Drosophila melanogaster: one gene and its partner. The protein of the gene in region 1 purifies or fractionates together with the protein of each later gene. This does not show direct contact. Each region holds a gene or a part of one and is shown in the gene's direction. Other genes may lie near its edges.

Region 1 (7,658 bases):
CAGGTGAACTGAATCTACGTCAAATACGCATTCGTATCTTAAAGTCTGATTACCTATTCAAACTTAACCTAAACAGGAATTCAACCAGGCGGCCGAAGATGTTAAGAACCTAAACACCACACCCGGGGACAATGACCTTTTGGAGCTCTACAGCTTGTACAAACAGGCCACTGTGGGGGATTGCAATACAGGTGGGTCTCGGACATAGTCGTCACTCCGCTGCACCATCGATAATTCTAATCCAATGCAGATAAGCCCGGCTTTCTGGACTTCAAGGGCAAGGCCAAGTGGGAGGCGTGGAACAACCGCAAGGGAATGAGCAATACCGACGCCCAGGCCGCCTACATTACCAAGGTCAAGGCACTGATCGCTGCCGTTGGCCTGAAGTCATAGACTCAATCGAAATAGGATGTTGCATTTTATAGTCTCAGTTGTCGTCAAACGCACAAACTTTGATTTACAGAAACTTCGCACAAACTAAAATTTTTCGCACAATATACACCACAAATTCGTAACGTAACGTAAGCCATGTAATTTGTCATAGAGGGAATGAATATACATTTAACTATGTAGGATACTGCTTAGGCCTCTGTGGGTGAGGCGGCGGTGCTTCCCTGGGACTGGCGCTGTCGCTCGTACACTTCGCGCTGTAGCTCGCGAAGATTTAGCTCCAGCGTCTCCACCACCTCAAAGTTCATGTCCTGGCGAGCCTGTTTGATGTAGCCCTTAATGATGTTTATCTGCTCGATCAGCGGATCGTCCAGGCTGGACTTGCTAGCCGCCTGCGGTGCTGACCAGTTGTTCAGAGATTGAAGATCAGACTGTGAAGCAAATGGAATCACAGAGGTTACATATTGATCTTTGCAGAGAGTCCTCGTCTACATACCCCTTGGGCAAAGGATCCGCTTTCCGGACCAGGAACTCCAACGTTGGATTGGTTAGCTGCCATGTTATTTCGTTCGTAGGCTTCCATGGCCATGCGCTGTTCGGTGAGGATACGCTGCTCCGTTTCCATGCGTCTACGCTCCTGCATCTGGCGTATGTGCGATTCCTCTGGCAGTGGGGGCAGCGATAACATTCGCTCCTTGATGGCTTGGATGCAGCCCAACCGAATGGCCTTCTTTAATGCCTCCTCCCGGCTGCCTGGTTCACAAAATATGGCTAGAATGCGCTTGCTCCTCATGTCCATGGCCTCTGCCACTTGTCCAATCTTGCCGCGCAAAGCACCTGCATCCGCCAACGTGAAGATTGTGTCCCCTTCGTTCAAGCTATTGATGATCTTTAGATACATGTCCAGATCCGGGGTAACTTCTTTTTGTAGTTGACGAATTTGTTCGTAGACCTGGACGAGGAGTGGGCGACAAGTGCGACTTTCGTGCATATCCTTTCGGGTGTCCAGCAGCCAAAGGCAGTGTTCGCACAGCCGGATGGCGTTCTCATGCTGATGCAGCTGCTGAAGGGGCTCGCTTCTTGTGGTGGAAAGACTGGCTAGTTGCACTGCGGGATTATAATCAAATAAGTTACATTATTTTCCTCAATTATTGGATCTACAAACTGGCATCTTCCAGGGGCAGGAACTTGGAGCAATCATTGCACATTATGCCTCCGCACAAACGGCAGTGGTGTTGTCTTCGGGCGATGTGGAAACTCTTGGCACAACTGGGACACAACTTGACGGAACTACCATCCAGCCAGGCAACTGTTTGCTGTTCATGCTGACGCCGCTGCACTGAATCCGCTGGCAGATCCTTAAGCAGGCGGTGCAAACGAATGATTAGTTTGTTTGTTTCGCTGGCATATCGCTCCAGGCGAGGATTGCGAATGGACTGAAAGTACTCGAAGTGGGAGCACTCAGCACCAGGCTGCTGCCTGGCCATATAGTTAAATACATTTAGACGGGAGCGGGCATTACTGGGTCCATTGCGATCTCCGTTGCCATTGGGATTCTTGCCAGCCGCTGAAGAGGAGGAACCTGCGGGCGACGATACAGATGCACCTTTTTCATCCTCAAAGGGGTTTAGGATCTTCTTTTTCGCCTTGGTAAAGATATCTTTAAAGGATTTTAGGGCATCCTCCTCTTCCGCATGCTGGCGGGCAAAATGATCCGTGAGCACATCGATGGACTTGAGATCCGCACGGCAAATGGGACATAGGAAGCCCTCTAGTATCTCTCCACTGGCCGAGCTTTGATCTTCGTCGCTGTCGAAAGGATTTCCAGACATTCCGGCGATGAGTAATCGTAGTTAATTCGGTGGGTGTTATTTGTTGTGGTCTCCTCCCCAAAAAAAATTGACCCTAAGGTTTTCCACTTGTTTTAAAACAGTGGCATGACGGGGCTTACGGCACTTGTAGTCCTAAACTCGATTAATACGGTCAGAGTTTCTACAAATCCATTAATTTTATTTAAAAACTAATATTTGCAGAAATCATCAAGATTTATCTACTTCACTCTTCTTCTTCCCAAATTGCAATTCGAAATAATATCCGAGAATTAGGGCTGCAGCAAAAGCAATATTTGGCTATTTTTGCTGTTTATTTGGATTTTTGAAAATTTGTTTATGGTAGTCACGGAGATTTCATACTCTTTCCCAGTTAAAACTAGCTAGGAATATATATGTTATAAGCATATTTTGATTACCAGCTTTTGCCTATCCATTTCTGGATCCGCTGCAGCCCTGGTAAAAGCTTTCCATGGCGAATGGCCAATGCGCGGAAAGAAGCAGAATATTGCCTGCCTGGAAGTTTTCTCGGGTTTAACGCTTTTAATCCGTCGTGGGTGTCAATATCCTGTGTATAAAAATAATTCCTAAGGCAACTGTGCACTTGGCACACATCTTCATATCGAGTTAGCCCAATTTAAAGCTCCAGATCGGCCGCTAATATGTCGGAAAGATCGAAAGGTGACGTGTCCGCTCGCGTAAACAACAACGCAAACCAGACGCGTGTCGTTAAAAATCCGCTTCTGAGCGCCTCCGTGACCGGCCTGAGTTTCGACGACTTCCCCAACAAGCCGCAGCTCCTGCCAGCCGCCCCGCCCGTGGTCCATGCCACGCCTCCAGCGGCGCCCGTCCTCATCGCTGGCATCTTGAATCGCGGTAAGTGGGTCACCGTACGTTCGTGAATCTAACGCGGAGTGGGGGTCACCTGTTGCTCGGCTGCTATAATGATAAGCTGATAAGCCTGGCAAGGCACTTGACCTTCTTACCCTCTTCATAAACTGGGGTTGACTTTATCACGGATCAAGTTAATATAAACTACTTTCAGTGTATAGAGGAATGGGTCAGGTCAGCACTTATTTTGGCTTAAACAAATATGTATACCTACTACTAGCTGAACAAATATATAGATATATTATAATAGTTTTCCTAAATAAGACATTAGTTAAGTCCATTTAATCGTTTGAAATCACCGACATTGTTTATACTACTTTTTTTAAGTTGCACTTCGTTTCAGTAGTTTATGCAGGGACAAACAATTGTATCCTAAATATTTGCATACATTTAGTAAAACGGTGCCATATTGTATATCTGGTACTTCTATGGCATTTTATTAGACTTCGAGACCACATAGGTTCTAACTTGGCACAATAACATAACAACAATCTACTCCATGCTCCTAGTGGAGTGGGATCTATATGTGGGCAGCTCCAGCGTTGTCTTCCTCCGTCTGCAACACCACACAATGCTCCATATGAGGGCTGCAATAAGCAGGATCAGGAGAATGACTCCAAGGCAAATGGCTGCAATGGCGGCCTCGTTCAAATACACATCTCTGACATCGATGGTGAGGCTTCTCTGGTTCCCGGCCGCATCGAAAGCGATGAGTGATACCTTTGGTTCGCAGCAAGAGGCCATGTAGGTTGCCTTCAGGGGCTCTGTGCTACCAGCAGTATAATAGTTTCTGTAGAAAAGACCCTCTGGCGGCGAGGCCTGCAAACGCATCATGCCTGACTGCCAGTCCTGAGCGGTCACATCCACAGTCCAAAAACGTTCACCACAATTCTGGGATTCGGGCGTCAGGTAATCACAGCGGCTGCCAAACTCCCAGGATAGTGTAGGTCCAGTTGAGTCCTGGAAATTATATTTAAACATTTCAATTATGCTTTCATAATCAGGTTATCGGCTGTTCACATACCTGAGCATCTATGCTAGTCACCACTTTAAGATTTACCGCCAGAGTAGATGTTTCGCGACCGTAATTGGTGAAGGTAATCCGGTCTGTGGTGCCCTGAGCTGTGCCAGTGGGCACCAGAACAGTCAGACGCACTGTAGCCGTCTCCTGGGCGCGCAGGCTTAATCTACAAAGGCAGAAGTACGTAAGATATATAATGTGTAAACCAAAGACTTCGCTCTTAAGCGCTCCAACCTGGTAGGATTCAGTTGAACCAAGAAGCGCCGCTCGTCGGTGACTTGAATGGTGGAGTAAACCGTTTCCGTTTTCATGTTGGTGACCTCAAAGAGTAGCGTAGCTGTTTGACCAGCCATCACCAGCAGTTTCGATTCAATGCCCAACTCAATTTTTGTGCCACATCGCTGGAGAAGCATGGCATTTAGGGTGCTTCTCGACTGCCCAGTGCTGGGAGCTAAAAGCGTTTGATTCAGATTAGGAGAACTTTGGATTTCCTGCTCCGAAAAGGTTTCGATTTCGTTCTTCGGGGAGTCCACATCTTCCTCTAGCTTTTCCGTGTCCTTTTCCTTGTCGGGAAACTGAAGTTTGGCTGATTTGGCCTTTGTTTGTCCGGTTTTGTAGTAGCTGTCGATGCGTTTGATGATGTCGCCTGTGAGGGAAATAGAAAACAATTTCTAAATCAATTGCGCACACGTGTTTTTCTTGCCCTATGGAAATGTATCGATGATGGCGTCAACGCTGACGATTCCATCCAAGGTTGAAGCGCGGTTATCAGTAGAGATTCGTATTCATTGGGGCAAACGAAACAGATCACGGGCCCTTATCAGTCCGAAACCCAGTCTCAGAGCATTTAATTAGCTAACGGGGACTCAGTACTGTGTGGCAATCAATACCGCCAGGTTGTTTGTTATTTTGTTACTATAACTCACCCAGAAACACATCCGCTTTTCTTTCGGCGCGAACAAACACATTGTACTTGTCGTGCAGCTCGGGCTGTAACTTCAGTTTGAAAATCGACGCGCGTCGCAGCTTGTTTAGCGGTACGTAGGCATCAAGTTCTTGGTTATTTAACGTTTCCGTGACATTAACTCCGCCGAATTTCGCTAGTTTCTTCAAATTGATCTCTAAAAATTAGAAAAGCACAAAAATAAACAAAAGTCTAACAGCTGTTGACCATTCACAACGCAACGCGGACAGCTGTTACAGGTGTTTGCGCGGCGTTGCCAGACCATAGCATTGCGTACCACTTTTAATTAAAACATCATAGTTGTGCAATAAACATTCAATCTGTAAGCCATCAAACTTGTTTTTTATAGCCAAAATAATTATAATTAATGGACAAACATTAAATAAAGACATTTTGCGGTAATCTTTAGCCATTTGCGGGACCTTGGCAACCCTAACCCCGCAGCTGCGCCGTAGTTGTTGTGAAAGAAAAACACGTCTACAAAAATCCGCGAAAAAAACAATTGTTTTTCCTTGTAAAATTAGCAAATAACCTACGATTTTTGGCCGCTAAAGTGGTGACAAAGACGGATATTAATTGCCAGTCTAGATCAGTGCTGACGACATAGCCAGCCAGTGCAATACATCACCAAAAACTGGTCGCATTCTAAATTTGCCCTTGACAGTGATGTGATTTGCCTAATTTTGTTGTTAAAAAACGTATGTATGTATGTTATTTTAAGAAAATACCACATTCACAAAAGCTGAGAAAGATATTTAACCATTAGAGGAAAAAAAAGCTACCTCGAATATTCAAAAATGTTGACATCTTTCACATACCTCAAAGTATGTTAATGTTTATAAATTTACGATAAATACTGTGCAAAAGGGTTATTTTTGTTTGAGTTTTAAAGTACTCTTTTGAAAAGGTCACAATTCATTGGGAGTTGAGGCAGGCAGTGCAAAAAAAAAACATCCCCAAAAAATTGATTTTTTTGTTCAGGGTTTACATGTGAAGTACGTTTTTGTGTTGGTAACTTCCGGGTGATAACTTTGTTTATAATCGGCGGTTCCATAAGTTATAAAAAGATTGCAATACTTTCACCGAGTATTTTCAGTTTTGTGCGATAAGTCGCTGTTTTGACTACAAATGTTATGTTCCGCCGTTTTTGAGTCATAATTATTTTCTGTCTGACCCGTGCAATCTTCATTTTATTAGCTATACAATACAAACTTGGACTTTGTCCACTCGTTCGACGTGGCGTATGATTAATCTGGGGGAACGCTCGTTATAATTGATCCATTCTTCCAACCATTCTACGTTTTAAGTTAGTTAACAATAACATTTTGTGCCGGACAGTTGAAAGTGCTCCATAATTAAATCAAAATAGATATATATTAAACATACTCACCTTAAAGGACGAAACACAGAAAGGACTAGAACACAAAGTGCTGATACAAAGTTAAGGTGAAGTTCGAAAAACATAATTTAGCTGCACACGCAAAATATTCGATTTTAAATGGCTAAGTTGCATTTTAATGTTTGTAAGATAGCTGCTTGGCTAATTAGCTTATGACCATTAACAGTCACCATTTAAAATCGTTATCATTTGTGTGGCTTAGTGTTAAAAAGGTTTGATTTTTATCGTTTTCGTTTTATTTGTGTACCCTTAAAAAGCTAAAACATTTATTACTTTATAACTGTAAAACAGTAAACATATATGTATATAGAAAATTTCCTTTGTACTACAGTTTAGTGTCAAGTGTGGTTTTGTTGAGCATTATTATTATACTAGCGTTTTGGTTAAGGAAAGCGTTGGGACATCGGCTATATACAAGGATCAGCATAGCTGACTTGGGATTAGAGAGCAGCGATTGGTCGGGTGTTAGTCAATGATCTTACGAGCTAAGGACATAAATTACACAGTAGTACAGTTGTCAATACATCTGGGAAGTTATTGGAAGCTTGTGCCATTATCAAAAGGATTAGACTTAGAATCTACGTAGGTTTGGCACACAGACTCCTACACATTTAAGTCGCTAAACACTAAAATACAACCCTGCGTTAGTAAGTGCGATAGAGCAAACGGAGTCGGTGCTTGGTAACTCGCTTTACGAGAATCACTAACCACCATTCGGCGTCTCCATCGTGGCCCGTCTCATATTCGCATCGATTCGCACATGAAGACTGGACAACGTCGTGTCAACTGGCAGATCCAGCTCTTGACTACCTTGATACGCGTCCGCTACTAGGGTGAGCTGAAAAGAACAATAAATGTCAAATGTGTTGGCCAAATTAATCCGACTCGATGGATTATATCCGATTATTTAAGTTTGAATTAAATACACCATGCTTGAAGGCCCATTCTCAATTAAAACCCAGTTGATAATCCTATTAAAAGGCAGTTTAGTTAATAGAAAAACACTATAAAAAAGTACCCTTGCTTCTGGGTTTCCCAAAACTTTAAGCACAGGAAATTGAAATTATGCTAATTTCTTATTCCGCATTCCGCAGAATTTGAGTACAAAATACTCAAATTGCCATTTTCGCTGTGTGGGTTAGTTTCGGCATTATTGTCTAGGCT
Region 2 (8,566 bases), on another chromosome or scaffold:
CAGTTCCCAAAACACCTAGTTTCTATGACCAATATCTTTTTAGACTATTTGCTAAATGCTTTTTCTAATTTGCGACACGAATAATTCAAATTGCGCTACTGGAACGTAGATCAATGGTGCTTCTGGTTCGAAGTAGAGTGGTTACACTGCCAGTTGATGTGGCAGGTTGTTTGAAGGTTCCACTGCCTGTTTATGTGGATGAGTCGGATGCTGGACGAAATCCGTTTTCGCTCCGCCCTCACAGTTGTTGTCATTGCGGTTCTTGTTGCTCAGGAAGTTTGACTAGGATTGCGGGATGGGGTGGCACTGTGGGAGGTTGGGTGGTTCGGTGGGTGGCTTCGCTTTCCACATGCCTTGACACAGCGCACACAGTGGTGCCCCTTACGGGTTCATTTTGTTGTTGTTTTGTGGTGGGCATGTGCTTAGCAGATCTGGTCGTCAGGTTTTAACTCTTAACTTGTTTGAAGGCCACGACAACGACTCTTGGCAACATAACCTCACTTTGTTGACAATAAATATACACACTTAGAGGTAACGTAACGCAAGATATGGATGCGGTTTCGAGGGAACAGGGTTTCTCTACTCACGTTGGTGTTTGTCGGCCAATTGCACGAGCGGATTGGGCAGATCCCGGCGGCGGTAGAAGCACATGACCTTCGCTTCCACATTGCCGGTTTGGTTTTTGTTCAGCTCCTCGATGCGTCGTATTAAGTAGGGACTGTTCGGCGTTGTCTCAACGTAAACATAGTCTGAAAAAAAAACAGTTTTTGAGGTGGCTGATGCAAAAGGGTCAGAAAAGGGCATGGAAGGGTGGGGGGCTGCAACTCCATTAATACGTCACAGGTAAGCGCACACATACACCTATACACGCATCCACCTAAGTGCGACCACCACTACCAGCTAAAGCGCAATTAAATACATATGGGTCTATCCATCCATATAACTTTATACCTACAACAACTGCAGCGGAACCTGTCGTTGACTATTATAAAAAATAAAAGAAATTCCGTTTATCTGTATGTACATACATACATAGATACAAACGTCGTGTGCACTTCTGCTACATTTTGGGATGCAGATACACAGATAGATGGGTAGATAGATGAAGAGAGATGAAAAAGAAAGTGTGGAGGCAGCGAGAAAGCATTGCCGAAGGTGTGTAACTGTGTGCGTGGCCATTAAAAACGGCTAACAAAAAACGCCGATGGAGACAAAAAGTTCTCGGCGATAAAGAGCAGATAATTCGACAAGTATATATGCCATTAATATTTATTTTGATTCCGTTAATTGAAAGCTTGCGTATCCGACCGAGCTTATTTGCATTTCGAAAGAGCACACACACCCACACACTTGCGAAAATCAGGTGAAGACAACACAATAACGTCACCGCTCGAGCGCGAGCGAGATGGCTAACAGAAAGTGCGTCAGGCAGGGTGAGGAGTGGGAGGCGTGAGATGGGGGGAGATGCTCAAAAGCTCATTAGCATATGAAAACACAAAAAGGCGGGTGGGCGGTGAGCCCAAAAGTGAGATACACTTTCGCACATAGTCAAACAAACACACACGCTGGAGAGATCACAATTCGGCAAAACCAAATCCAAATGCAAATGCAATTCAGTTCCCCAGCCCTAGAATACACACACACGCATACACTTAGGGCATAAGTTAATGCTTATCGGTTGGAACACGTCGAAAACACTTGCTGCAGCTGCGACACAAGAGCAGCAGGGGGCTCCTTCAAAGAAGTTAAAAAAAATAGAAAAGGTCTCTCCTTTTCGACGGATTGTTCTTGAGATTGATAATACACGCACACACACACACATACACGTGCGTCGGGTCTCCCACTAAAGGGTTTTCGGCAATTAAAATGCACTTTCGTTATTGTTGGAAAGCCTCCTCAGACACAACACACACGCATACGCACACATTGGACACACACACACATATGCAGAAGCGAACACGCACACCGTGAAACGGCGGCGCCGATAACGAAAGATGATAGAAAAGCGAGTACGCGAAAATTTTTCTCACCTCCGACTCGATACATATTTGTGGCCATTTTCACTACGCTACCGCACCAAAACTTTCACATGCAAAACACTCGGCACACGCTTAGCACTGTTTTTCAATGGTCCTGTTCCAAACTAGCGCACATTTATTAGCAGAAAACTCGAGTTGTTATGATTGCATTTTTCACATAAGAAGACGCGTTTTTTTCGTCGCCATCTTAGAAACAACTCAACTCTAAAAAATACACGCACACACACACAATGCCGAGTAAACAGCTGCACCAGGGATGCACTCCACGGTGCGATAGTTTGGCCATCGATAGCAATCGATACATGGGGTGTTGGGTAAAAACTTAATGTTAAAATTTAGTTGGGGCGATAAGAAAAACGATAAGGGGCTTTTCTAGGAATACGATTTATATTTATTTATATTATATATACTTCTTGAATAACAATATATATCATTAAGAAAATTAACTGAAAAAATTATGGGCGAACCTTGTTTTATTTATCATTTTCAAAACATATTTATTTTCACCCTTTTTTTCTCATATTAAAACATTCATTCAATCGCATGGGGCGCATGCGATAGTATCGCTTGAAAACTGTCTTCCCTAACATGCAACGTTTGCACTTAAAATTCTGTAATAGTTCGTAGTCTAGGTTTCTACGTTTTGTACGTTTGTATAAATTGTTTCCAGAGTGAGTGCTTTGATTTGAAGAGCCTCTTAAAGACTCATCTCGCGAATTTGTTTACTTTCGCGTGAGTATTTTGGCCGTCGCCAGCACGAAAGGTGTCACGACTCGCTGTCAATCCGTGACGTGGCCTGACCGACCGATTTTTCCAATTGGCAGAGGTCTAACAGAGGTTTTTCCGATTTAAGTATTACATTTAAGTGTTCCGGCGATGACCACCTACGAGGAGTTCATCCAGCAGAACGAGGACCGCGACGGAGTGCGGCTGACGTGGAATGTGTGGCCCTCAAGTCGCATCGAAGCCAGTCGGCTGGTGGTGCCCCTAGCTTGTCTTTACCAGCCTTTGAAGGAGCGCCCCGACCTACCGCCTATTCAATATGAGCCGGTCTTGTGCACTCGCAGCAACTGCAGGGCCATCCTGAATCCACTGTGCCAGGTGGACTACCGTGCTAAGTTGTGGGTGTGCAACTTCTGTTTTCAGCGCAATCCGGTGAGCTCAATGGTGATCTTTAGACTCTCTGCGGCAGTTTATGACAGTCATTATTCCAGTTTCCCCCTCAATATGCTGCCATTTCCGAGCAGCACCAACCAGCGGAGCTGATTCCGGGATTCAGCACTATTGAGTATACTATTACACGGGCCCCCACCATGCCGCCCGTCTTCATTTTCCTGGTTGACACCTGCATGGACGAGGAGGAGCTGGACGCCCTCAAGGATTCGTTGCAAATGTCGCTAAGTCTGCTGCCAACCAACGCTCTCGTGGGTCTGATAACCTTCGGAAAAATGATACAGGTGCACGAGCTGGGCGCGGAAGGCTGCTCTAAGAGCTATGTGTTTCGTGGTACCAAGGACCTGACTGCCAAGCAGGTGCAGGATATGCTCGGAATTGGGCGTGGAGCGGCTCCGGGGCCGCAGCAACAGCAGCACCTGCCCGGCCAGCCGGCTGGAGCGGCGGCCCCTGTGCCGCCCGCCCATCGCTTCTTGCAACCGATCGGCCAGTGCGACGCGGCGCTGGGCGATCTGCTTAGCGAGTTGCAACGCGATCCTTGGCCGGTGCCGCAGGGCAAGCGTTACCTGCGCTCCACTGGTGCCGCCCTATCTATTGCGGTGGGCCTGTTGGAGTGCACTTATCCCAATACGGGCGGTCGCATTATGACCTTCGTGGGTGGCCCTTGCTCCCAGGGCCCCGGCCAGGTGGTCGACGACGAGCTGAAGCACCCGATTCGTTCGCATCACGACATCCACAAGGACAACGTGCGGTTTATGAAGAAGGCTATCAAACACTATGATGCTTTGGCATTGCGGGCAGCCACCAACGGGCATAGTGTCGACATATACTCGTGTGCCCTGGACCAAACCGGACTGCTGGAGATGAAGCAGCTATGCAACTCCACTGGCGGCCACATGGTCATGGGCGATTCGTTCAACTCATCGCTCTTCAAGCAGACATTCCAACGCGTCTTCGCACGTGATGGTCGCAACGACTTGAAGATGGCCTTCAATGCCACGCTGGAGGTGAAGTGCTCGCGCGAGTTGAAGATCTCCGGTGGCATCGGCTCGTGTGTGTCGCTGAATGTGAAGAGCCCGTCGGTGTCGGATGTGGAGATCGGCATGGGCAACACGGTGCAGTGGAAGCTGTGCACATTGAATCCCAGCTCCACCGTAGCCTACTTCTTTGAGGTGGTCAACCAGCATGCAGCCCCCATTCCGCAGGGCGGGCGTGGCTGCATACAGTTCATTACGCAGTACCAGCACCCAAGTGGACAGCGGCGAATCCGAGTTACCACACTGGCCAGAAAGTATGTGTTGGCATAAATCAGCCCAGAGTTTACTTACGTGGTTCAATCTGTTTGTTTTTCAGTTGGGCCGATGCCACCTCGAACGTGCACCACATCAGCGCTGGCTTCGATCAGGAGGCCGCCGCAGTTCTGATGGCCCGTATGGTCGTCTATCGTGCGGAGACTGACGAAGGACCCGACATTCTGCGCTGGGTCGATCGTCAGTTGATTCGTCTGGTAAGTTTTCAATGTGCAAAATTACTCGTGCCCAATTAATTAGTATTGTAAATGCTTTCCTTTTACAGTGCCAAAAGTTCGGCGAGTACTCAAAGGACGATCCCAACAGCTTCAGGCTGTCGCAAAACTTCAGCCTATTCCCGCAATTCATGTACCACCTGCGCCGCTCGCAGTTCCTGCAGGTCTTCAACAACTCGCCCGACGAGACCACATTCTATCGACACATGCTAATGCGCGAGGACCTCACCCAATCGCTGATCATGATCCAGCCTATTCTCTACAGCTACTCGTTCAACGGCCCTCCAGAACCGGTCCTCCTCGATACGGCTTCCATCCAGGCGGATCGCATCCTCCTGATGGACACGTTCTTTCAGATTCTGATTTACCACGGCGAGACCATCGCCCAGTGGAGAGCCCTCAAATACCAGGACATGCCAGAGTACGAGAACTTCAAGCAGCTGCTGCAAGCACCGGTGGACGACGCGCAAGAGATTCTTCAGACGCGCTTCCCCATGCCTCGCTACATCGATACGGAGCACGGCGGATCCCAGGCCCGCTTCCTGCTGTCCAAGGTCAATCCCTCGCAGACGCACAACAACATGTACGCCTACGGGCAGGTGAGTCTCGCAGCCAGCGCCATCAACTGGCCACATTTGATTGATCTTTGCAGCGCTCCATTTGGCGTCATCGAAAATTTAATCTCAATCGAAATCTCAATCTCGTTTTATGTTGGTTTTGTTTCTCTCATTGTATAATCCGTACCCGTATCCGTAACCGCTCCTTTGTCAATCGCAGGCGCCCATCGGTCAAGTCACGGTAGTACATATTTGTTTAATTTTCAACTTTTAAACTGGTGGAAAGGTGGATATTTGAAATTTAAGGGGCGGGTAAAAAATCTTTGGAAATTGGATATGTCCTTTGCTCTTGATAGCTATAAGTCCAAAATAAGTGTTTTGGATTTTGCAATAAATCTAAGATGGCCAACCCCACACGGCTTAATCTAAGCAAAGATTTTGTCTGTTCCTATTTTTTCATATTGTTTTTAATAATTTCAAACATGATTTATATATAAGTGGCTTTTGGTGTTGGACCCTTCTAGGTGCTTGTATCCCTTTTTCATTCATCCTCCCCTCCCCACTTGGCACGATCCCACCCACCCATCGCATGACTAATTTTCCGGACATTATCTCGACAGGATGGCGGGGCTCCAGTGCTCACGGATGACGTTTCGCTGCAGCTGTTCATGGAGCACCTCAAGAAGCTGGCTGTGTCCACCACCACATAAATCGACTCTGGCTCTAGTTTCAGGCGCTTGCTTCCCTGGCGAAGTCGAAGAAGGCGAACGACACCTGGAATCAATGGTCCAGGCAATGAAATTACGAATATACAACCACTTATTCCAATTGATCGTCTTATAACGCAATAAACTATTCAAATTATGTTCAACAATAAGTGTGTTAATCCGCGATGCTTTTATTCGTAAGCAGCTGAATTAGAATTTACGTTGAGCGGAATGAGTTTGTAATTATAAAAACAAGGCATTAACAAAATGAAATGAGCATCTCTTTCATTCTTCATAACAACTATTAATACAAGTAAATCCGACGGGTTCCTGAAACCTACAAGATTTGTAAAAATTATTTTTTTGTAATATAAGACAGCAAAAGATTTATTTATATTTTTATCATAAATATTTGATCAAATTTCCGGACGCATTTAACTTTTAGATACCAAGCAATTGGTTATATTTTTCTGTATTTCTCTAGCACCCGTGATCAAACATATGCATTTTTTGTTTAACTTGAATGAAATATCTTCGATAAGCTTTGGGCAAATTACTCAGGTTTAAAAAACTTTGCGACACTTTCATTTTCATTCATTAAATTGAAACTTCTAAATGGTTGGAAAACACAACTGGTATAATAAGAATAGCAACCACTGCTTTCAAATCATTAGAGTTTTCAGTAACCCGCCGGAATGCCTCTCGACTAACTGCATCCTAAACTATTTGGTACACACTGACTAAGAAGGTCGCTCTTTCCTCGTGATTGCCGCATCCAGCTAGCCTAGTTGAGAAACCGTATGGACATCTTCTGATCCACGTCGGTGCGGTCCAGAGCTTTGCAGAAGTCCTCGAACGAGATCTTGCCCTGGCAGCACAGGTCCGCCTCCAGGATCGTCCTCTCCGCAATGCTGACCAACTGGTCCTGGCTAATGTTCGCCCCGACCATCATGTGCAGGATGGAGAGCAGCTCGTCTCTGCTGATCACACCATCGTCATCCAGATCGTACATCTTGAAGGCGAACTTCAGCTTCTCCTCCCGGCTGTTGAGCTTACTTTGCTTGTTATCCCTCAGCGGCCGGAAGTGGGCCAGGACGTTCATGAACTGCCGGAAGTTCACCCGATCGTCGTTGCTCTCAGCGAAAAAGGAATGAACTATCCGCTCGCACAGCGGATTAATGGCCAGTTCCGGGATACGCATCAGATCCTCCCGGGACAAGGTTCCGCAATCATTGCGATCCAAGGAGGTGAAGCGCGAGTAAAGTCGCTCGATTTGGTTGGGGGTGACTGGAAAATAAAATTGATAAAAATTAACCAATCGATAATTAGTTTTGAATTAAATACAATTAAGATAGTACTAAAACATGTACATTCAACTGTAAATACCTATATGATATTAACTTTAATAAGCGATTTAACAGTCCGTCAAGTTAAATCATTTAATAAAGTTGTTTTTGTTGAACGACACTGTTCAGATAAATTACTTTTGCCATGGAAAACTCGAACGATACCTATTTACGAACAGTGTGGGCATGAGTCTAAGCCCGTTCGGAATTAGTTGCTATAAAATCTGGCTGATAAGAGCGAACGCCTTATCATCTTAGCTGATACTAGCTGGTCGAACATTGGATACAAGTTCCAATGCGGTGGCAATTTCAATTGTGCGCTTATCGCGCCCGGAATATTGAAATTACACGCTCTCGGACACTAGATAATTGCCAGCCCCAATATCGGTGATAGGCGTCGACTTTTGCCCCCACCCACCCCCGTCTCATATATACGTATATAACTATCGATGACGTCATGTGGGAAGTGCAGGTGCATTTGAAATGCAAATTGCTTTTGCTGCAAACCATCTGTCCATATACCGCTTATATAAGGCGGGCACAGATCGCTCAGACTCAGTTCTGCATAATTTGAACGGAGTTTTTTAGAACACGTACATATAGTTCGTAGATTTGGAATTTTTATAGAAATGACGAATCGAAACTAAGCGAATCCATTTTGGCAATCCATGGTCTTGGACCCGAAATGCTTTTAGCACTCCAGTGCGATGTTGTTGTTTGCATTGCTCGTGGCCCAATTAATTTATATCCAAGTGCGTATTTCGATTTAGTACGGCGCATTGAAAGTCTCCGGTTGAAAAAGCCCAAGGTTATCACACATCCCGACCAGAAATCGTACTCACAGCCAGTCTCCTCCTGGATTTGCGCGATCTCCTCGTTCCGCAGGAAAAGCGACGACTTATTGCCCATGGTGACGGTGTGTTGTGCGCCGATCGGTTTGTTTAAACATTCAACAATCGCAGACGAGCATTGAATGGCATTCGATTTGGATTGGACCACAAGTCCGATTTGTGTACAGGCTGAATGCAGGCGGAGTGACGGGAAAATGCCGAAAATCGGGTGCAAAAAAATACTGAACAGCCAGCGATGGTTGCACTAGAGACGGACTTTGTCAAGTGGTGGATGGTTTCCCTATAAATATCGATTCACATATTTTTTTGTATCTATTTAAAGTGCACATTTTTTAAGGGGTCATTTGTAAGCATTTCCTTACAAACAA

The links.
Region 2: the proteins of PAPLA1 (region 1) and Sec23 purify together in Drosophila melanogaster (affinity purification with western blotting, with the first as the bait; one study listed by BioGRID). This does not show direct contact.

Annotation. Positions count from the first base shown.
Region 1 is NT_033779.5:8,154,656-8,162,313, reverse strand, and holds the start of PAPLA1 (phosphatidic acid phospholipase A1), read left to right. Parts: upstream 1-2,738; 5' UTR 2,739-2,881; coding exon 2,882-3,095; intron 3,096-3,527; exon of another isoform or gene 3,528-3,602; coding exon of another isoform or gene 3,603-4,070; intron 4,071-4,134; coding exon of another isoform or gene 4,135-4,297; intron 4,298-4,365; coding exon of another isoform or gene 4,366-4,777; intron 4,778-5,057; coding exon of another isoform or gene 5,058-5,252; intron 5,253-5,563; exon of another isoform or gene 5,564-5,793; intron 5,794-6,408; exon of another isoform or gene 6,409-6,541; intron 6,542-6,710; exon of another isoform or gene 6,711-7,197; coding exon of another isoform or gene 7,198-7,332; intron 7,333-7,587; exon of another isoform or gene 7,588-7,658. Other genes in the region: Acbp1 (Acyl-CoA binding protein 1), read left to right, coding at 1-3, 77-191, 251-393; Rbsn-5 (Rabenosyn-5), read right to left, coding at 582-821, 887-1,497, 1,556-2,222; CG43394 (uncharacterized protein), read right to left, coding at 3,603-4,070, 4,135-4,297, 4,366-4,777, 5,058-5,252, 7,203-7,332.
Region 2 is NT_033777.3:5,646,467-5,655,032, forward strand, and holds Sec23 (secretory 23), read left to right. Parts: upstream 1-2,598; 5' UTR 2,599-2,771; exon of another isoform or gene 2,772-2,892; 5' UTR 2,893-2,915; coding exon 2,916-3,194; intron 3,195-3,253; coding exon 3,254-4,503; intron 4,504-4,565; coding exon 4,566-4,719; intron 4,720-4,787; coding exon 4,788-5,336; intron 5,337-5,514; coding exon 5,515-5,538; intron 5,539-5,914; coding exon 5,915-6,004; 3' UTR 6,005-6,163; downstream 6,164-8,566. Other genes in the region: MTA1-like (metastasis associated 1-like), read right to left, coding at 588-749, 2,031-2,058; elm (ethanol sensitive with low memory), read right to left, coding at 6,786-7,288, 8,190-8,256.